Linked DNA regions of Oryctolagus cuniculus. The protein of the gene in region 4 interacts with the protein of the main gene of each other region in a pairwise test. Links are inferred from orthologs where the notes say so. Each region holds a gene or a part of one and is shown on either strand. Other genes may lie near its edges.

Region 1 (3,992 bases), on a different chromosome or scaffold from region 4:
TGTCACCCGCTCTGCGGTTCTCCCCAAAACCCTAGAGTGTCTGCTTCGTGAGCAGCTGTGTGTGCTTCATTCAACGCTCCATGACCACCTCCAAAAGATGTGCGGGTATCTGGTGAGTACATGACTAAATCACATCCGGTGTTTCTTGCAGATAATGTCTGGATTCAAAGAATAAGTGAAAAGCGGCAATGTCTCGATGCATCAGCTAGGGAATTGGCTGGTCCCTTCTTGCTAATTATATGGCAGACCAGCCAGTTCATCTCCTCATAGCTAGTGTTCTTTCCCTTAAATCGTATCACATGTACACAGTGGAAGGAACTGGGAGATTAACCTATGAGAGTGAAAGTAGAACATTGTGGATATTCGCTGACTCTTTATAAATATCCTACATAAATCCAAACTGTAGCATGCCAAAAACTGCTATTCACCACCATGAAAGTCATACCCTGAAATATTAAGATATAAAACACACTGAATTGAAACAAATTTTCTACGTGTACTCAAGTAAACCATGCATACTTGTGTATGGGGTACTTCATAAAACTCACAGGAAATGGAATTAAAGGTCTTTCAGTTCAGACAACTTTGAAGTCCTTGCAATTTTCCCACCATATGCTTTCATGAACGCTAATATGAATGCCTTATATGCATGCATTTCAAAAACTTTATGCATGAAACTTTTAATTCCATTTTCCACTTTCTCGAGTAGCTTCATATCTATTTATATATACAAATTCAATCATTTCTCAAACTGAGGCTATGCTTTTCCCAACTTCTATGTTTCTGAACATAACGAGCTCCGTGGAAATAAACCAATGCTCTGACAGCTGTGGTTAAAACTCAGTCCTCACTCACTCCGAATCCTCCCCGTTACAGGTCTCCTGACTTACAGGCTCAACATCACTGGTTCGCCAAGGGAAATCCCAAATGGAAGGCTCTAATGGACCTGACAGCTTAGCATTAATTTCTTAAACGCGTCTGAAAGTACCAGAAATCCACGCCTTTCGCCCTCCTGAGAATTCAACGTCCGACTTGACCCGGCGGTTCTTCAAGTGCCTAAGAAACCCCTTTCCCGCACTCGCGGGTTCCTGTTCAGGAAGGCATGGTCCAGCCGAAACCCGGCTTGCGGAGCCCTCCATGCACTTTGCAGTTGGGCTTTCCGCGAACAAAACACCCGGCCGTGGACACACCAGCACCTTCGTCACGGGTCAAGGCCGCGGCGAAGGACACAGCGACGGGAACGCCTCTGCGCCCTTCCCCGAAGCACCAAGCCACGGCGCAGAGTAGGTTTCGCTCCACACCCGGAGCGAGGCCCCCGTTCGGAAGGGGTAACGAGGCTCACGGCGGGCACGGGCACGGGCACAGCCCGGCCGGGCGGCAGCGGCGGCCCCAAGCCGCTCTCCGGGAAAGGTTCCCGGGCAGGGCCGGGCGCAGGCGGCGGCCGCGACGTCGACGCCCCCGGCCCAGGGCCTTGCAGCGCGCCCCGCCGCGCACCAAAGTCACGCTCGACCCGAGCACAAAGTTTGGAAGACGTACCCGAGCGCCGAAACGCACGGGTCTCAGAGCTGAGCTCGCGCCAGGGACAAGTCTCAGGAGATCCCTTCGACGCCCGGCTCGCGTGTGGGGCAGAAAGGCCGCGAGGCGGCCTCGCTGAGAAGGAGGCGGCGGCGGCGGCGGCGGCGGCAGCGACGCCCACTCAGACGCCCAGCTCCTCTTCCTCCCGGGCCCCGCCGCCCAGGTGCTAGCCGCGCAGCCGCCTCACGCGCGCGCCCAGCGCGAGGGAGCCAGGCACGGGCGCCGGGGCCCCTCCTGAGGAGGGCCTGCGACCCCCCGGGCCAGCCCGGCGCACGCCCGGCGCCTCCCCGCCGCTCGCCGCCGCCGGCCGCGGAGACCCGGTCTGGGGGCGCGGGCCCGGGGGTCCGCGGCGGGGCGGGCGCGGGGCCGCACACCCCTCCCCCGCCCGCCGCCCCTCCCCCCGGGCCGCCCGCGGGGCGCGCTGGAGCCGAGCGCCGGCGTCCCGGGGGACCAGCCCGCCCGCCGGCCCGGGGGACCCGGGCAACTTTGCCCTGCGCGGCCGCCGGCTGCCGCCCCTCGCCCCCGGCGAGGCAGGGAGGGGACCCCGAGACGAGCGCGGCGTGGACTCACTTTTTCGGATGTTTCTCTCTTTTCGGCCTCCGCTTTCGGGCCTGAATGGCCAGCACTAAGGAAAGAGAAGACACACATTAACGGTCGGGCCGGGCGGCGTGAGGGCCGCGAGGCGGGGGGCGCCGCGGGACGCTCACCTTTCCGGGAACTCATCGCTACGCGGCGGAAGCGGGGCGGGGGGCTTCGCGGCGGCGGCGGCCGCGGCGGCCGCGGCGGCAACGCGGGAGCCGAGCCGAGCAGAGCCGAGCCGGGCTGCAGCCTCCCCTCACTCCGCCAGCCGAGGAGTCAGAACCGCGCCTGCGCCGCCGCCGCCGCCGCCGCCGCCGCTCCCGCGGGGACCCAGCAAGACCCGCCCCCGTCCGGCCCCGCCCCCGCCCCGCCCCCCGGCGGTCCGGGGGGATTGGGACCCCACGCGCGCCCCCCACCCCGCGGCCGCCGCCGCCACCCACCCGTGGCGAGAGGACTACCGCCCTCTAGGCCTGTCTCGCCCACGGCCTCGCCCGCCCCGGTCCGCGGCCCAGGCTGCCGCCTCCTGCGCCCTTGCGGCGGGCGCGGGGCCGCCCATCGCGCTCGGCCCCCGGCCCGCCGACCCTCCCTCGCCAGCCAAAGCCCCTGCCCGCCGCACCCCGGCCGGTCGCGCTGGCCGCCTGTCCATGCGCCCGTCGGTGCCCGGCGCCTCCGCGGGGCTCACACCACCTCTCTTCCCGCGGCCTCTTCTCCCCCTTGGCTCCTCTACATCCTTGCATCCCCATGAGCGCCGCTTCCTCCAATCCGGCGCGCGTGGAAAGGGCACAGGACCAAGAACCGGGAGCCCTGGGCCCTAGGTTTGCAGTGTGACCTTGGCAAAGTCGTTTTCTCTCCCCACCCCACCGCACCCCTTCACCCGCCCCTCAGAATTGGGTTAAGTTTAAGGGATGAAAAGATCCACAGAGCGTTGACAAATAGGATGCGGCTTCTGCACGTGAATTGAAGCCCAGTCCGGTGAGGAACGTGTTAGCCTAACAAAGAACTGCACCAAGTAGTTCTGGTCTCCATCTTAAAAGAAGGCCATGAAGTCCTCCGGAGGTCCAACCGTTTAACCAGTCAGGATCCGAATTCAGGTCTGGCGGCTCCAAACCCGGTCCACCTTACCAGACTGCCTAGTCTACAGGCGGGAATCAAGTCGATGATGACACAAATTTAACCGCAGTGCTCCCATAGTGATTTAAATCATTACAATCGTTTTGAAAAAATAGGCATCCTGGCCATTGACTCTCTCCCCGGTCACACAACTGGATCCTGAACTAACGGAAGTAGCTTATCTTACCCCAAAGATGTTAAACCCAAGAACAAGACCAAAATAAAAACATTGCTTGAATTTTGAAAAGCTTTAGATTCCTGCAACTTTTTCTTTTCCAAAGTATCAAACCTACAGAAAAGGCGCAAGAAAATATAATGAACAGCCATACGAACCCATAATCACCAATATTTAAAATTTCACCACATTTGCTTTCTGTACCCTTTATCCCCAAATATTTCAATGGGTTTCTACTGAGGATAAAGATGTTCTCCTACATAATCAGAATTCCATTATCACTCCAAGACAATTTAACACTGATGCAGTATGATTATCTGTAATATACAGGCCATATGTGAATTTTCAAAATGGCCCTCTTATTAGCCCTTTTAGTTGATTTTTTTTCCAACTCAGGATACAGTCAAGGGTCTTTCATTGCATTTGGTTCTCATGTCTTTTTTAGCTCCTTTATTCTAGAGTAATCCCTGGTTTGGATTTTTTTTTCTTTTGTAACATTGACTTTTTTTTGAAGAATCCAGTTCTACTGTTTTGCAGAGTGTTCAATTCGTAT
Region 2 (3,500 bases), on a different chromosome or scaffold from region 4:
CTAGGAGTTACTATACCTTAGTTAAAGTTGTTCTATGTCATCAATATTCACATTTTTTAGAAATCAGAAGCAATAATAATAAAATAAACATTTCATAAACTTTACCAAAATTTTCTAAACATATGGTACTTGTTGGAAAAATAGTTCTGGGCAACATGGAAGAAATGAGAGGAAGGACTTCTGTTTCAGTATTCCAAGGTATAAAACCAATTCTGAAAATTCAAAACAAAATAAAGATATTTCTGTTTAAATGGTTTAAAAATTTAAATCAGCAATTCAAAACCATCAATATCCCAAATTAGATTAAAAATATTAAAGCAGAGTGCTTAAACTTATTTTGCCCAAATATCTGAAAATGTTAATTCAGGGATGCTCATTATCCAAAGATGGCTACCAAATGGTTGCAAAAAAAAAAAAACCTTTTAATAACCAAAACTATGTATTTATTTATTTATGAGAGGCAAGGAGACAGACATATACACACACAAACACAGAAGCAGACAGAGAGAGAGCTCCCATCTGCTTTGCTCCTCAACTGGCCATAATAGCTAGGGCAAGAGCCAAGAGCAGTACACTGAATCCAGGTCTCCCACATGGTGACAGGAACTCAATTACTTAAGCAAGCCATCATCACTTCTGCCAGGTTCTGTATTAGCAGCAAACTGGAGTTGAGAGCCAAAGCTGGGAACGGAACCCAGGCACTCCAATGTGGGACATGGGTGTCAAGCTGCTATGCTAGGGACTGGCACTGTGGCATAGTGGGCTAAGCCTCCACCCGCAGTGCCAGCACCATATACAGGTGCTGGTTCTAGTCCCAGCCTCCTCTTCTGATTCAGGTCTCTGCTAATGACCTAGGAAAGCAGTATAAGATGGCCCAAGTGCTTGCACCCACGTGGGAGACCCAAAGGAAGCTCCTGAATCTTGGCTTCAGATGGGCCCAGCTCCAGCAGTTGCAGCCCTTTGGGGAGTGAACCAGCGGATGGAAGACCTTTCTCTCTCCCTCCTTCTCTAACTCTACCTCTCAAATAAACAAAATAAAAAAATCAATCAACAGCTATGAAAAATACCAACCCTGAAAAAAAATCTTTAAAAGTATGTTTTCCTGATAAATTATTGGCAAAGAGAGATGAAGGTAACTTAACACACACAGGTGCTTCTCTTTTAAACAATTTAATGTAATTTTTGGTATTAAGAATTTCATTTTTTTTTTTAATTTAAAAGGCAGAGACAGACAGAGATCTTCCATCCCTTAGTTCACTTCGCAAATGCCCACAATAGGTAGAACTGGACTAGGCCAAAGGCAGAAGCCTAGAACTCAATCTGGGTCTGCCACATGGGTGGCAAGGACTCAAGGCCTTGAGCCATCATCTGCTGCCTCCCAGCATAATGAGGAGCTGGGATCAAAAGCAGAGCCAGGGCCTGAACACAGGCACTCTGAGGCATGTGGCCAACTCCAGCGGTATCCTAACGGCTGCACCAAACAACAGCCCCTGTTTCAGTTTTCATTCTTTCTTCAGCACTACTGAAGAAAATCAGTGTGCTTAAGGTAACAACACAGTCTGTGTGTACATTTCTGTGTAACTACAGCCCAGTCTAGAAAGTTGGCATTCTCGCCTGTCTAGAAGGCACCTCACACGCTTCTACCCTACTTCCTCCTCCCCAGGCAACCAGTGAGTGCTGTACTATCAGTGTCATGGTAAAATTCCTCACTCTGAGGACAATGGCTCTTTAATGCACCCAATGTGTGGACAGACCTGTTACAACCCTCCACAACTGTCTGCATTCCAGCCCAAGGCCCTTGTCAGCTCCTGTTTGTACTCCTCCTTGTTCAGCTGAGTTCTCCTAACAACCATTACTTCATTCAGAATAGTGAGATTCTAGAGTAGAAGAGAAGCTTGAAAAACAGTGTGTAACTTGTACAAAAATATGTAACTGTAAGGAAAGTTTTGTTATGTACATACCTGGACTTCCTAATTTTATTTCTATTTAGGCTCTGTTCTTATTCTGAGAGGGTAAATGCAGAACCACATTCTAGTGACATAAAAGATAAAATACTACTGTTCTCCAGGAATGAGCTTTACAGAGCAGTCTGATTTAAGTACAAATTATGGACAGGGCATTTGGCTACGAGCTTCAGGACCTACATCCAGAAGTACCAGAGGACACACAGTCACGAATGCCAAGGCAGAGAAGACACATGACTGACTACCCATTCAGAAGGACATTTTGGAGAAGGGGACTATAGTAACAGAGCTTCAGCGCAAGGTACCAGCAAGGGCACAGAGCAGAGGAAGCGTAACGGTGGGAATGCTCGCAAGAAACAAACGTTCTGTAGATGCTCTCACACCCCACCCATCTTTTTTCTTTCTGTAAGATTTATTTTATTTATTTGAAAGACAGAGTTTCAGGGAGAGGTGGAGACAGAGAGAGAGGTCTTCCTCTCTGCTTTCCCAGGCCATAGCAGAGAGCTGGATCTGAAGAGGAGCAACCAGGCCTAGAACCGGTGCCCACGTGGGATGTTGGCGCTTCAAGCCAGGGCGTTAACCCTCTACGCCACAGCGCCAGCCCCTCCATGTCTCTTTTCAAATGAAGAGACAGAGAGAGGGAGGAGACAGATCTTCCATCCTTTGGCTCACTCCTCTCTTGGCCTTTTTAAGGCTGAATAATATTTCTGGGTGTGTACATGTCACATTTTTCCTGAAAGGCAGAGTTACACACACATACACACATACACACACACACACACACACACCAGGGGTGGGGGTCTTCCATCTGATGGTTCGCTCCCCAAATGGCCACAATGGCCAGGGCTGGACCAGGCCAAAGCCAGGAGATTCACCAAGTCTCCCACCTGGGTGCAAGGGCCCAAGTACTTGGGCCATCTTCTGATGCTTTCCCAGTACCTTAGCAGGGAGAGACGGATTGGAAATAGAGGAGCCAGGACTGAAACTGGTGCCTCTTTCGGACACCAGCGCAGAAGAGGGAGGCTTAACCTGTTGCGCCACAGTATCAGGCCCAGGTGCTCTCCCTTGTAAATTACTCTAGCACAGAAATGCTTACACTAGAAAACCAACACTAAGGAGACACTTCCAAGGGCATTTGAAACACCAAAGCTTTGTAGGACAATTCCTTAGGAAGATTCTTATTGAATAATGTGCCCCTGTACCAAAGAAGTATTAATGCTATTCTGTGTTCATGACAGCATATAAACACTTTAGTAATCTTTTTTTTTTTACCTTCCAATTCCAGGTAACGTATCAGGAAACCATGACAATTCCAGTTCTCGCCTCTTCTGCCTAATCAATTCACTGATTTCATTGACTTCTATAAATTCTGTACTGAAAGATAAATTTTGGAGGGTCATGGGAACGCCAAATATTTAATTTTTGATTTAAATAGGCTTACATCAAGAACAGCAGCAGTTTTCCTGCCTAATAATATGAAGCATATGTTTTTCTATTTGAACATTTTCAAAATAAACTCATTCCTAAAATAAGCAA
Region 3 (3,500 bases), on a different chromosome or scaffold from region 4:
CCAAAGCCAGGACACATGAACTTACGTTCCTTCTAAGACGTGCATTAGCAGGAAGCTGGATCAGGTTTTGGAAGCTGGTACTGAAACCAGACACTCCACTGTGTGAAATAAGTATCTTTTTACAAATTTGTGTCTTGTTTTTTATTATTTATTATTTGAAGGGTAGAATTAGAGAGAAAGATCTTTCATCCATTGTCCTAAAAGGAGACAATGACCAGAGCTGAGCCAACTGGAAGCCAGGACCCAGGAGCTTCTTCCAGGTCTCCCCTGCGGGTATAGGGGCCTAAGTACTTGGCCCATCTTCTGCTGCTTTCCCAGGCCATGGCAGAGAGCTAGAAGGGAAGTAGAGCATCTGGGACTTGAACCAATGTCCATATGGGATGCGGCACCCCATGTGGAGGCTTAGCCTACTATGCCACAGTGCAGCCCCCTGAAATAGGTATCTTGACAGACATGTCAAATGTGTACCCAAGACTTTTTTTTTAAGTTTACACAAAATATGCGCATACTTACAGCTTAAATGTAACCACACAGTTGGGGGTTAATTTTCACAGGAAAATAAGTTTAGATGTAGGTATGTTAAATCTTAACAACTATCTTCTTGTGATGGGCATTTTGTATGGGGGCCCGTGTTGTGGCATAGCAGGGTAAGCTGCTGCCTGTGATGCCAGCATCCCATATAGGGACCGGTTCACGCCCCAATTTTTGCACTTCCTATCCAGCTCCCTGCTAATGGCATCTGAAAGGCAGCAAAAGATGGCCCAAGGCAGGAGACCCAGATGAAGCTCCTGGCTTCAGTCTGTCTCCTCCCTGGCCACTGCAGGCATTTAGGGAGAGAAACACTGAATGAAAGACCTCTCCTTCTAACTTTTTCAAATAAGGAAGGAAATCTTTTTTTTTTTGGACAGGCAGAGTTAGATAGTGAGAGAGACAGAGAGAAAGGTCTTCCTTTTTCCGTTGGTTCACCCCTCAAATGGCTGCTACAGCTGGCATGCTGCGCTGATCCGAAGCCAGGAGCCAGGTGCTTCCTCCTGGTCTCCCATGCGGGTGCAGGGCCCAAGCACTTACGCCATCCTCCACTGCCCTCCTGGGCCACAGTAGAGAACTGGACTGGAAGAGGAGCAACCGGGACAGGATCCGGCGCCTCAACCAGGACAAGAACCGGGGATGCCGGTGCCATGGGCGGAGGATTAGCCTAGTGAGCCACGGTACCGGCCAAATAAGGAAATCTTAAAGAAAAGTTACTGTGTAGGACACCTGCATCCCGTCTTGGAGTGCCTGGTTCAAGTCCCAGTTCCTGGCTTCTGCCTCAGCTAAAGCACAGCCTGAGAGGCAGGAGGTGAGGGTTCAAGTACCTGGGTCCCTGCCAATACATGGGAGGCCTGGACTGAGTTCTGGGCTCCTGGCTTAAATCTTTCAGATAAAATGAAAATAAATTCTTAAAAATCATCTTCTTATATAACTTCAATTTGCTTCCTCTAACAAAAACACTGTGAAATAAAAACTCAAGAGACAGGGAAAAACACAGCTGCTACCGTTTCTTATCACCCAGGATAAAGCATGTGCAAGCACACCCACACCCCGCTCAAATTACTAACCACACAAGAATTCACCTAAGAATGAAAAACATGAAGCGAACACAAGTCACTCGCCCAGCGTGTCCCCACAGCAGAGGACAAGCACACATACCCTGGTCCTACTTTGGCCTTCTCCTCCGTCGTCATGAACCTCCCTCGAGTTGATACTGCAGCCCCACTAAGTCGGCTGATCTACAAGAGGAAACGGCTCTATTAAAAAAAAGTGAAGGTATAAAAATACCAACACTGTACCTCATCCCATACAGTTACACAGAATTTAAATTTTTTTTTTAAAAAAGATGATGTGTTCATTGGTTGATTGCAATTCATTCCAACAAGTAAGGCAGAAATGAGTTCTATTCTGTACCTGAAATTTGATACCATGGTTTCTTACTGAAACCAACCTAGGGAATTTACTCCTATGTTTCATGATCTTCCTCTGAAGTTAAACTAAACTCAACCTTGACTTCAGAGACCATGACCCAAACCTACTAATAAATGCCTCCCATGTTCCCATCTGTGTTGGGCCTGTTTTCTGAGCTGACCTGCCTGCCACCTTCCCCAGAGTCCCAATCCCTCCGTACCTCATCTTGAGTCTGTCCTCGAGTCAGCAGGTTTCTGCACGTGAGAGGCACATCATTGATCTCAACTTCAGCCACCACCAGGTCATCTTTGCTTTTATTGCTGGTGAGGCCTTTGCCAGGGGCTTGAAGCTACCGAGATTAAAAAGTTTATATGATAAAACGAATCTTTTTAATTGTCCCATCACCTCCTTACCCCTCCCCCCACCTGCCTGTAAGCACACTCGGTCATTCTTCACAAATAAAATAACAAGCAAAATGATACCAAAGTATAAATGATTTACCTGAAAGCCAACACTAGACTGTTCTGTAAACTTAGCCCTGTGCCCATTTGAAAAAAAATTTATTTTATTTATCTGAAAGGCAAACTTAGAGAGACTGATTGATTTTCCACTGCTGGTTCACCCCCAAATGGCCACAGAGGCTGGGACTGGGCTAGGTGGAAGCAGGAGCCTGGAACTCCTTTCACATCTCCCACGTCGGTAGCAGGGGCCCAGGCACTTGCTTTCCCAGGCCTATTAGCAGGGAGCTGGGTTGGAAGCAACTGGGACTCATAAACTGGTGGTCATATGGGATGCTGGGGTTGTAGGCAATGGCTTACCACTGTGCCACAACAGCCCCCTGTGCCCATTTTATGACCATATAATTACAGAAACAGTCTGGACTAGAAACTGCAACCTCCAAAAGGAAAATTAAACAGTCAATTATGATCCTTTTATAGCTCAAACAGCTGGCTGTGTCATAAAACAAAGAGCAATGCATACAACCTGTACACCTCATTCATGAGAAGGAAGTTGTCTTTGAGCCACCCCTATCATCACAACATATCAAATTTTGTCCTCGCAATGTTCTCAAAATTCTTTTTTTTTTTTTTGACAGGCAGAGTGGACAGTGAGAGAGAGACAGAGAGAAAGGTCTTCCTTTGCCATTGGTTCACCCCCCAATGGCTGCTGTGGCTGGTGCGCTGCGGCCGGCGCACCGCGCTGATCTGAAGCCAGGAGCCGGGTGCCTCCTCCTGGTCTCCCATGCGGGTGCAGGGCCCAAGTACTTGGGCCATTCTCCACTGCCCTCCCGGGCCACAGCAGAGAGCTGGACTGGAAGAGGAGCAACCAGGACAAGAACCCGGCGGGCCGGTGCCGCAGGTGGAGGATTAGCCTATTGAGCCATGGCACCGGCCTCAAAATTGTTAATCTGGAATCTGGTGCAGCAGTTAATAAACAGCTTGCAGAGCCTGCATTTATATTGGAGTGCCTGGTGTGAGTCCCAGTTCTTCCATTTTGGATCCAGTTTTCTGCTAACGCACATCGTGGGAGGAATAGATGATAGCTCAAATATTTGGGCC
Region 4 (3,500 bases):
GTGAAAGGGAAGAGAAGCCCTGGGGGCTGTCCCTCACCCCCTCTCTCCTGTCTCTCAGTTCCGCTCTGTGGATGAGACCACCCAGGCCATGGCCTTCGACGGCATCATCTTCCAGGGCCAGTCGCTGAAGATCCGCAGGCCTCACGACTACCAGCCCCTGCCCGGCATGTCGGAGAACCCCTCCGTCTACGTGCCTGGTGAGTGGGGGGCCGGGCCCCTTCTCAGCCCAGCCCGGCTGTGTAGGCATGGTGTGGTGCTTCCCCACGCCCTGAGTCGGGCGGTCCCCCTGCGTGGCCGAGGTGGGGCCTGGCCACAGCGGCTGGGCTGAGGTCTGCGTGAGGACACACAGCTGCTCGGGGGCTGACGAGGACCAGGCTGCAGGTGCAGCAGCTGGTGTGGGACTTGCAGCCTGGGCCTCACCCCTGCCCTGGGCCTCACCCCAGCCCTGGGCCTCCAGGCCTGGGGACCTCGGAGGGTGCAGGGCTCCCAGTGTGTGCCCTGGGTCCTGTGTTCCAGGCCATTTCCACCTGAGTGGGCTGCATGAGGACTTCCCAGCATGCAATAGCTGTCTCTAGGAAGTGTGCAGGCTGCCCTTGGCACCCGGGCCAGGTTGCCGTCAGGGTCACTGAGGATTTGGGCTTGAGACCCTCCTGTTGGGGGTGCAGGAAGCACTCTGGCCGTGGAGGCAGCTGGTGCCGCTGTAGGTGAGCGGGAGGCCCAAGGTTGATGATGCGTTTGTGGAGCCCGGGGCTGCCTGGTTGAACTGTCCACCCGGCCTTTGTCCATCCAGGGCCAAAGGCTGGCACCCAGCAGTCCCTGGGCGGCGTCGGGGCTGTCCTGGGGCAGGGTGCCGTTTACTGCGAAAGCTTGCTAGGCACGAGGTGGTCCGTAACTTGCCCAGGGAGGTGAAGTCAGTGGGGTCCTTGCCCGGCCAGTGCCTGCCCGGCACGGACTCAGGGCGTGACTCCTGGTCCGCTCCCTTGGTGACAGCTGTCGGCCGGGCGGAGCAGTGGGAGCGTGGCTGGGCAGCCTGTGTTCTGGGAAGGGCACGGCCGGAAGCGCGGCTCTGCCGGGGGGTTCCCTGTCAGGGCCTGGCGTTCCCCCAGAGGACAGTAATTGTAATCTGTGCAGAGGCTAGAAGCAAAAGCACGGGTCAGGAAGCAGTTGTGGGGAGCAGGTGCTGGCCTGCGGGGCACCCTGCTGCCCGGCATCAGGTCAGGCTGAGGCACACACTTGGCACGGGCCGTTAGCATGCACCCAGGGTGCGAGTGTTCTCCCGGCTCCTTAAAGGGAGACACCCAGGCCTGGGGAGCCTGGCTACTGCCTCCCTGAGACTTGGCACGCCGGCTCAGAGCCCGAGCGCGGCGTCTGGCTACGGGGGGACTGGGCAGTTGCCCCCAGCCTGCTGGGCTGTCTCGGGGAGCACGTGGTTGAGTTCAACTTTGGGGCTGCCTTTTTGACTCCGGTGTTTGCCTTGTGCCTCGGCTTCCAGTTAGTGTTGTGGCCAGGGCTTCTGTGCACAGCGTGGTGCACGCCTGGGCTGCAGGAGCACCTGGGGGGACCCTGCTCCTGGCCCGCCTGCCGCCGGTGCTGCCAGGCTGAGTCTCCCGCACTCCGCTGCTGGGCTGGTCGGGAGCTGGCGGGGTTGGTGCCTGATTCTGTGGGGGAACATCAGCACGGCCAGGAGGGGCCGGGGCGGGAGAGCAAGCCCTGGGGCAGCTGAGAGTAAGGTCGAACTTTATTTCAATTTTTTTTTAAAGAGCTATTGTTTGAAAGGTGGAGTTAGAGAGAGAGAGAGAGGTCTTCCATCTGCTGGTTCACTCGCCAATTGGCCGCAATGGCCAGAGCTGCGCCGATCCGAAGCCAGGAGCCAGGAGCTTCCTCCAGGTCTCCCACGTGGGTGCAGGGGCCCAAGCACTTGGGCCATCCTCCACTGCTTCCCCAGACCACAGCAGAGAGCTGGATTGCAAGTGGAGCAGCCGGGACTCAAACTGGCGCCCACATGGGATGCTGGCAGTGCAGGCGGTGGCTTTACCCGCTGTGCCACAGTGCCGGCCCTTAAAGTTAAACTTTAACTGAGCCCCTTCTTCCTTAGTTTTGAGTTGATCTCGCATTCCTTGGCCTGCCTGTTCCTCCCCAGGGTCAGGATGGAGGTGGGTGACAGCGCTCCCACTTGGTACCTGGCGGGTGAGGAGGAGAGGCCGTATTAACTGGGTCTTTCTGGGTATTTATTTGAAGTGGAGAAGGGGGAGGGAGACAGAGGCACTCCCACTCACTGGTTCAGGCCGAAGCTGGGAGCCTGGCGCTCCATCCGGGTCTCCCCGTGGCGGCTGGCAGCTGGGTTTGTTGCAGCGCAGGGCCGGCTGCGTTGGCCGGTTCTGAAGCAGCGGCGAGGCTGGATGGGGCTGGCATCCTGGTGGAGCTGCTGGCCCTGCAGACCTCTGTCCGTGCAGTGCCAGTGGGAGGGCGGGGCGGGGTGTGGAGCTCAGTCAGAGCTTGGAAGCCATGCGGAGTCCCCGGGGCAGCCCCTGCCCCACCCCTCAGGCCGAGAACTGCCTCCCTGAGGCCAGGGCCGTGGGGAGACTCCCCAGGCCTGAGGGCCACGCTTGTAACTTGGCAGTGTGCCTTGGTCAGTGCCGCGCTGCTGGTTTGTGGCTACGGCTGAGGGCGGCTGGGGCTGGAGGCACAGGGCTTGCGCTCTGAGGAGCCGGCTCCACTGCCGTGTGCCGCGGTGCACAGCGTGGACAGCTGGGTGTGGCATGACCCCACCACCCCGTACCAGGTCCTGTGGACGGCCCAGGATCCTGGGCCCATGGACGTGACCTGTCACGGAGTTGAAGTCCTCCCCTCTCTCCCGGTAGGAGTTGTGTCCACCGTGGTCCCTGACTCTGCTCACAAACTGTTCATCGGGGGCTTACCCAACTACCTGAATGATGACCAGGTTAGCCCTCCCCCGCTGCAGACACAGACACACACTCCTGTCCTGATGGGGTCCGGGCCTGCCTGCTCCCCCCACCCCTGCCCCTGCCCTGATGGGGTCCGGGCCTGCCTGCTCCCCCCACCCCCCACCCCTGCCCTGATGGGGTCTGGGACTGCCTGCTTCCCCAACCCCCCACCCCTGCCCCTGCTCTGATGGGGTCCGGGGGTCTGGGACTGCCTGCTTCCCCCACCCCCACCCCTGCCCTGATGGGGTCCGGGCCTGCCTGCTCCCCCCACCCCCAACCCCTGCCCTGATGGGGTCTGGGCCTGCCTGCTCCCCTGCCCCCTGCTGCCCACCTCTGCCCCTGCCCTGATGGGGTCTGGGCCTGCCTGCTCCCCTCACCCCTGCCCTGCCCTGATGGGGTCTGGGTCTGTCGCAGGTAAAAGAGCTGCTGACCTCCTTCGGGCCTCTGAAGGCCTTCAACCTGGTCAAGGACAGTGCCACGGGGCTCTCCAAGGGTTACGCCTTCTGTGAGTACGTGGACATCAACGTCACGGATCAGGTGAGCCCCAGGCCCCGG
Region 5 (2,750 bases), on a different chromosome or scaffold from region 4:
GGCCCCCACAGGGTGAGATCCCTGGGCTCTGCTGCTGCAGGAGCAGCCTGAGGACCAGCAAGGCCAGCGGGAAGGCGGATTCCTGGGCAGCCGCAGGTGAACAAGGCCCCCGGGGTGGGGGGCTTCTGGACAGCTGTGAGCTGCTGGCTTGGGGGTCTCGGCACACACCTTTCCTCCAAAGGGAGGCCCCCAGGACTCCCACTGGTGGAGCCCCAGGTGGCCACGTGTACAGCATCACCAGCTGCGGCTTGTTCTGCGCGCCGGGTCCTGCCAGCGCCACCTGCTGGGCAGGTGGGGGACGTGGTCTGAGGAAAGGCTGGGCCCTGCCTCCCGGGGGGCGGGGCTGGGCTGGGCGGTCCCCCAACCGCGCCCGCTGACCCCGCCCATGCAGACCCCGCCCGGCGCTGAGGGACTGGACAGCAGGTGAGCACTGAGACTTTAATACACAGCACGACACTGGTGACGGCAGGGGCGGGCGCAGCGCGGCCACGTTCCAGGGTCCAGGACCGGTGCTGGGAAAGCCGCCTGCGCAGCTGTCAGTAGTACGGCCGCCTCGGGTTGTTCTGCGGGAGGCAAGGCGGGGAGAGGGGGAGCGGTTAACGCAGGACACAGACACAGCAGCTCCTGCCGCGTGCAGCGAAGTCCACACCCTCAGGCGGGGCCACCTTCCCTGACCGCCCCAGCCCAAGGCTGACCGCGAGAGCTGGGCGGAGAGGGACAAGCGCACCAGGGGGTTGGGCCGGAAGCGGTAGGCCAGCATCATCCTCTTGCGGAAAGCCTCGTACTCGTCGTCCTCCTTGGAGAGCTCAGCCGGCCGGTCGATGCCGAAGCCGGCGCCGTCCACGGTGGTGGTGCCCCTGTGCGGAGGCGACCGGGTGGCATGAGCAGGGGGCGGGGCTGCGCCACGTCCCCTTCCGGCTTCCTGCTGGCATGTACCACGGGGGGAAGCCGGCGGTGATGGCCCAAGTGCTTGGTCCCTGCCGCCCACGCGGGAGGCCTGGATTGAGCTTCGGGCTCCCGCGTTGGCCTGGCCCGGCCCCTGAACCCTGGGCATGGCTGGGCTCACAGCCACACCTCCAGGACACACATCGGGGGCTGGGCTGGGGGGCCACCTCTGTGAGGGGAGGAAGAACCGAAGTGGCCCAGCCCCAGGGTCCCGCGTGGGAAGGCGGGCCCTCGGTCAGCACAGGTTGTCACAGCTCCAGGGAGCGTGGGCGGCGGCGGCGGACAGCGCCCTGCGGGGCCAGCCCTGCGGGTGCATGGAGAGCGCTCCGGGCGAGGGCTGGTGCCCAGGATTCCCGCTGCTTAGCGTGACGGGAATTCAGAGAGGGCCTTCCCAAGGCCAGCTGGGCCAGGCGTGGGGGCTGCACCAGCCAGAGTGCCACCCCATGGCTCTGTCCCCGCCCCCAGCCCCCCGGACCCCACTCACTTGCTGCCCTGTGGCTCTGTCCCCGCCCCCAGCCCCCCGGACCCCACTCACTTGCTGCCCCGTGGCTCTGTCCCCGCCCCCAGCCCCCCTGAACCCCACTCACTTGCTGACCCGTGGCTCTGTCCCCGCCCCCAGCCCCCCTGAACCCCACTCACTTGCTGACCCATGGCTCTATCCCTGCCCCCACTCACTTGCTGCCCCGTGGCTCTGTCCCCGCCCCCAGCCCCCCCCCCGGACCCCACTCACTTGCTGCCCTGTGGCTCTGTCCCTGCCCCCAGCCCCCCGGACCCCACTCACTTGCTGCCCTGTAGCTCTGTCCCCGCCCCCAGCCCCCCGGACCCCACTCACTTGCTGCCCCGTGGCTCTGTCCCCGCCCCCAGCCCCCCCCCCGGACCCCACTCACTTGCTGCCCTGTGGCTCTGTCCCTGCCCCCAGCCCCCCGGACCCCACTCACTTGCTGCCCCGTGGCTCTGTCCCCGCCCCCAGCCCCCCGGACCCCACTCACTTGCTGCCCCGTGGCTCTGTCCCCGCCCCCAGCCCCCCCCCCCGGACCCCACTCACTTGCTGCCCTGTGGCTCTGTCCCCGCCCCCAGCCCCCCGGACCCCACTCACTTGCTGCCCCGTGGCTCTGTCCCCGCCCCCAGCCCCCCGGATCCCACTCACTTGCTGCCCTGTAGCTCTGTCCCCGCCCCCAGCCCCCCGGACCCCACTCACTTGCTGACCCATGGCTCTATCCCTGCCCCCACTCACTTGCTGCCCCGTGGCTCTGTCCCCGCCCCCAGCCCCCCCCCAGACCCCACTCACTTGCTGCCCCATGGCTCTATCCCCGCCCCCAGCCCCCCTGAACCCCACTCACTTGCTGCCCCGTGGCTCCGTCCCCGCCCCCAGCCCCCCGGGACCCTACTCACTTGCTGCCCCGTGGCTCCGTCCCCGCCCCCACTCACTGGCTGACCCATGGCTCTGTCCCTGCCCCCACTCACTTGCTGCCCCATGGCTGTCCCCGCCCCCAGCCCCCCTGGACCCCACTCACTTGCTGACCCGTGGCTCTGTCCCCGCCTCCAGCCTCCCCCGGACCCCACTCACTTGCTGCCCCATGGCTCTGTCCCCGCCCCCAGCCCCCGGACCCCACTCACTTGCTGACCGGGTTCTTGATGCCCTGGCCCTCGGAGCCCAGCCCCTCGCCCTCCTTCCAGCCCATCTTCATGAGCATCTGGTAGCCGATGTTCTCCACGGTCAGCTTGAACTCCTTGTACTCCGAGTAGTCGGGCTCGCGGCCCTCCTGTGGGAGGCGGCGGCAGCTGGCACCCACCACGGCCACGGC
Region 6 (4,128 bases), on a different chromosome or scaffold from region 4:
GACGGCAGATTATGTACCGGACACTGCGGAGCGGTTCAAGACTGTTCACAGAAACGAGTGCAAGGCTTCACTGGAACAAGAGAGTTGCCTCGGTTGAGGAGGTCAGGAGCACGCGAAGCCCAGGAAAACAGGCTTCTTGTGGGAGGCACCGGAGAGCCTGCCTATTAAAGACCTACAGCTGCAGCAGAGCTTAAGCAGGAGACGCTGGAAAAGCAGAGGCGCCTGGTCCTAGAGGGCTTTGTGGCTGACCTTAAGACATCGGGATTTTGTTCAAAACACGAATAAACTGATGAAGCACAGGGGAGTGTCGGCTTCCATGAGGACTGCAGATGGCAAAGTCAGGGGGTTGCACCCACGGTGAGGGTCTGATCAAGAACAGGAGCTAAGAGCCGACGCTGCGGCACAGTGGGCAAAGCCGCCACTGCAGTGCCGGCATCCCATATGGCCGCCGGTTCGAGTCCCGGCTGCTCCATTTCCGATCCCGCTCTCTGCTGTGGCCTGGAAAGCAGTGGAGGATGGCCCAAGTCCTTGGGTCCCTGCACCCACGAGAGAGACCCGGAAGAAGCTCCTGGCTTCTCGGAAGTGAACCAGCAGATGAAAGATCACTTATCTCCCTCTCAAACAAAATACTTTAAAAATAAAGGACTCAAAAGAACAGGAGTTAAAGATGAAAAAGGAATGGACTTAAGAGGCGTGTACGGATTCTATAAAATTAACGTGGTGTCATCAAGGCGTTTGAAGACGACTCTGGTATAGACAGCCGTGGGACAAACGACTCGCAGGTAATACGGGAAGCAGGACAGATGCAGGCAGTTAACAGACGACCTGGGAATCACTAGCAAGCTGTCTAGAGTTCCGGAAACGCCCACGTTTCAGGGGGCAGAAAAAAGCAGAGCGTCCGAACCATGCAATCAGCAGTCCGCTCGCCGGATCTGCAGGGGGCAGGGGATAAAGAGGCAACGCCTCTGTGCGGTGGGACACTGCGCGCTACCGTCTCGGCAGCTGAGATGTCACCGGAATCCAATCGGCGACCTGGGAGAGCGGGCTGGCTCAGCTTGACAGCTGACCCCACACGCTGTATGTTTCCCACTCAAGGCTGCCCGGGGAAAACTCGGGGTACAGAACTCCGGGGAGCACCACCCGCGGCGCAGGGCTGGCCCTGGGAGCTTCGCCTTCCCCTAGCAGTCCCGGCCTAGACCCAAGTTCTGAAGCCCCGCCTCCTTCCGCAACGCCTAGCCACCGCCCCGCCCCACGACGCAGGAAACGCTCGGCCTCAGCCAATGGCCTGCTTCCTAGAAAAACGTTACCTCTGACCTCAGAGGCTACTCGGAGACGGTGGAAGAACTCCTCGCGAGAGGTGAGTTTGAAGCTGCCTCCGCCATCTTGGAGATGGGAGAGGGGCGATGGCTGTGGCCCTTCTGCTAATGCAAACTCCACAACGGGCGCGGTAGTCACCACCACCCCTCCCCGAGTGAAACCGTCTTCTCTGTAACCGTTGACCAAAGCTACAGGAGGAGAAGGCGTCCACACCGAGAGCTGCGACATCGGGAGCAGCTCCGCCTGCCTTCAGGGGCGGCAGAAGTGAAGGGACAGAGACCGGAAGGATGGTGCAGTCGTGTTCCGCTTACGGCTGCAAGAACCGGTACGACAAGGACAAGCCCGTGTCTTTCCACAAGTAAGTCCCCCTGCGCGCATCGCGGGGCCGGCCCCAGCCGGGGTGGGGGGCGCGCGGCCGGTTGGGCGCGGGGCGGAGCCGGGCGCGTGTCCGCGCGAGACCTCACGAGAGGGGCGGGGGCGAGGGCGGGGCGGGGGTCTCGGGCCGGGAGCCGGGGGCGTTCCCGGCCGAGCGGCGGTTCCTCGCGCGTCCGGACGTGGGCTTAGCGAGTTCCGCGCCTGCGGAGGGCGGATGGTGGCGGCCGCCGAAGGCTGAATGGGATAGGAGCGAAGGCCTTCCCCGTGCCCTCCCCCAACCCTGTTCTGTATGTATGTATAGGTGTGTGTGTGTATATATATATGTATATATGTATATAATATCTATATATACATATAGATATGTATATATGTATATATATGTATATATGTATATAATATCTATATATACATATATACATATATATATAATATCTATATATACATATATACACACATATATATATAAAGATTTGTTTATTTGAAAGCCACGGAGAGGGAGGGAGAGGTCCCTCATTCCCTCGTTCACTCCCCAAATGGCTGCCAAAGCCAGGAGCTCCCCACGGTCACCCATGTGAGTGGCAGGGGCCCAAGGACCTGGGCCATCCTGGGCTGCCTTCCTGGGTGCACCGGCAGGCAGCTGGGTGGGAAGTGGAGCAGCCGGGAGAAGCTGCTCTTTTAGGAAGGGAGAAATTCAGAGTTTATTTTGGCCAGGATATCAGGGAGGTGTTTTTTCTCGCAAACCTACGCCCCAACCTTAAGGATCCCAAAGATTGAGACAGCTTGTGGGTGTGCCGAGAGAAGACCTGCTCTCCCTGAGCTCCTAGTATGGTGGAGGCCATAAACTCAGGGCTGTTTTACCCCGCTGGTCCTGTGGCTCCACTGCTACAGCTGGGGGTAGGGGAAATAGACTTTTGAAAATAAAAAGCTGAGAGGTTGGGTTGTGGCGTAAAGCCGCTGCCTGCAGTGCCGGCATCCCATATGGGCTCCGCTTCCAGTCCAGCTCTCTGCCATGGCCTGGGAAAGCAGTGGGAGATGGCCCAAGTGCTTGGGCCCCTGCACCCACGTGGGAGACCTGGAGGAAGCTCCTGGCTCCTGGCTTCCACTGCAGCTCCGGTCGTTGCAGCCAACTGGGGAGTGAACCAACGGTTGGAAGACACACACACACACACACACACTCTCTCTCTCTCTCTCTCTCTCTCTGCGCCTCTGCTTCCTCTTTCTATGTAACTCTTTCAAATAAACAAATAAATCTATAAAAAACAAAAAAACACACAAAACTGCAGCATTGGATTACCTAAGGATACCAGATGCTCAGCAAAAGGAGATACAATGGCATTTTCATTCAGCCTGATTGTTTACAAATGTCATTACCCATGGATCCAGTGGTAAATTATATGAATTACTCATAGATGAATAATTACCAAGCAAAATGTTAAGTGTTGGGGCATTGTTATATTTTAAAACATTTGTTTATTTAAAAGGCAGGTGACAGGGAAGACTTCTGGCCAGAGAAGCCAGGAGCCTGGACCTCGGTCAGGTCTCCCATGTGGGTGGCAGGCACCATCCTCTGCTGCTTTCCCAGGCGCATTAGCAGGGAGCTGGATTGGAAGTGGAGCAGCCAGGACTCAAAGCGGCACCCATATGGGATGCTGGCCTCACAGGCAGTAGTGTAACCCACTACACCACAGCACCGGCCTTGTGTGTTTAACGTGTTTGATGTAATGTGAGATGAACCCTGGAGAAATAAGAGTGGGTAGAGCATGGAGACCTCCGGAATTGCTGTTCTTCTTGGAGAAGGGTCTGGAACCCAGGATTCGGCTCCATACGTCTTAGTATAACTGCTGGGTCTGTTAGAATGCCTGAGAAGTGAAGGACTCCCAGAGGCTACATCAGCGGATGGTAACAGCGTCCTCTGCATTCAGCTCCCCATCTCCCTGGCCCCCTTCGAAACGGGTGGCAGAGCAAATCTAAAATCCAAGGCAGGCGCTTCACAGGCACTGGAAACTAGCTCAGCATGACATTCGCACACCAGGAACGCTGTGTTTCTGCTCACTGACTCCAAAGAAGGGCTAGCCTCATCTCACTGCTTTCTAAAGGAGCAGGTTTCAGGAGCGTAGATGGGAAAGAGCCTGCCAAAACCTCACAGACACCTGAGAATGTGTAGTCCTTGGGAGAAGAGGTCCTGCATACTGAGTTTTTTACAAGCACTTGCTGCAAGAGTTGGTACTTCAGAGGCCTTTTGCAGCAGACATTTTTCTTTCTTTTTTTTTTTTTTTTAAGAAATTTATTTGAAAGAGTTACAGAGAGAGGTAGAACCAGAGAGTCTTCCAGTCCAGTCTGCTGGTTCACTCCCCAGATGGCCACAACAGCCAGAGCTGAGCTGATCCAAAGCCAGGAACTTCTTCCAGGTCTCCCACGCTGGTTCAGGGGCCCAAG

The links.
Region 1: the proteins of U2AF2 (region 4) and SRPK2 interact in binary tests that used the Homo sapiens proteins (3 or more experiments, as listed by UniProt). The link is inferred for Oryctolagus cuniculus from reciprocal best matches to the Homo sapiens genes U2AF2 and SRPK2.
Region 2: the proteins of U2AF2 (region 4) and SCAF11 interact in binary tests that used the Homo sapiens proteins (3 or more experiments, as listed by UniProt). The link is inferred for Oryctolagus cuniculus from reciprocal best matches to the Homo sapiens genes U2AF2 and SCAF11.
Region 3: the proteins of U2AF2 (region 4) and KHDC4 interact in binary tests that used the Homo sapiens proteins (3 or more experiments, as listed by UniProt). The two-hybrid records come from large-scale screens. The link is inferred for Oryctolagus cuniculus from reciprocal best matches to the Homo sapiens genes U2AF2 and KHDC4.
Region 5: the proteins of U2AF2 (region 4) and SUGP1 interact in binary tests that used the Homo sapiens proteins (3 or more experiments, as listed by UniProt). The link is inferred for Oryctolagus cuniculus from reciprocal best matches to the Homo sapiens genes U2AF2 and SUGP1.
Region 6: the proteins of U2AF2 (region 4) and THAP1 interact in binary tests that used the Homo sapiens proteins (3 or more experiments, as listed by UniProt). The two-hybrid records come from large-scale screens. The link is inferred for Oryctolagus cuniculus from reciprocal best matches to the Homo sapiens genes U2AF2 and THAP1.

The regions. Positions count from the first base shown.
Region 1 is NC_091434.1:139,062,370-139,066,361, reverse strand, and holds the start of SRPK2 (SRSF protein kinase 2), read right to left. Parts: upstream 2,801-3,992; coding exon 2,771-2,800; intron 2,437-2,770; exon of another isoform or gene 2,299-2,436; coding exon of another isoform or gene 2,283-2,298; intron 2,201-2,282; coding exon 2,146-2,200; intron 1-2,145. UniProt on the Homo sapiens protein: Serine/arginine-rich protein-specific kinase which specifically phosphorylates its substrates at serine residues located in regions rich in arginine/serine dipeptides, known as RS domains and is involved in the phosphorylation of SR splicing factors and the regulation of splicing.
Region 2 is NC_091440.1:136,677,101-136,680,600, forward strand, and holds part of SCAF11 (protein SCAF11), read right to left. Parts: intron 3,339-3,500; coding exon 3,237-3,338; intron 213-3,236; coding exon 106-212; intron 1-105. UniProt on the Homo sapiens protein: Plays a role in pre-mRNA alternative splicing by regulating spliceosome assembly.
Region 3 is NC_091438.1:42,767,353-42,770,852, reverse strand, and holds part of KHDC4 (KH homology domain-containing protein 4), read right to left. Parts: intron 2,291-3,500; coding exon 2,162-2,290; intron 1,770-2,161; coding exon 1,690-1,769; intron 1-1,689.
Region 4 is NC_091449.1:3,329,862-3,333,361, reverse strand, and holds part of U2AF2 (splicing factor U2AF 65 kDa subunit), read left to right. Parts: intron 1-58; coding exon 59-197; intron 198-2,861; coding exon 2,862-2,941; intron 2,942-3,359; coding exon 3,360-3,482; intron 3,483-3,500. UniProt on the Homo sapiens protein: Plays a role in pre-mRNA splicing and 3'-end processing. By recruiting PRPF19 and the PRP19C/Prp19 complex/NTC/Nineteen complex to the RNA polymerase II C-terminal domain (CTD), and thereby pre-mRNA, may couple transcription to splicing.
Region 5 is NC_091447.1:66,071,977-66,074,726, forward strand, and holds the end of SUGP1 (SURP and G-patch domain-containing protein 1), read right to left. Parts: intron 2,709-2,750; coding exon 2,563-2,708; intron 858-2,562; coding exon 728-857; intron 564-727; coding exon 537-563; 3' UTR 501-536; downstream 1-500.
Region 6 is NC_091433.1:92,919,832-92,923,959, reverse strand, and holds the start of THAP1 (THAP domain-containing protein 1), read left to right. Parts: upstream 1-1,328; 5' UTR 1,329-1,604; coding exon 1,605-1,675; intron 1,676-1,827; exon of another isoform or gene 1,828-1,981; coding exon of another isoform or gene 1,982-1,983; intron 1,984-4,128. UniProt on the Homo sapiens protein: DNA-binding transcription regulator that regulates endothelial cell proliferation and G1/S cell-cycle progression.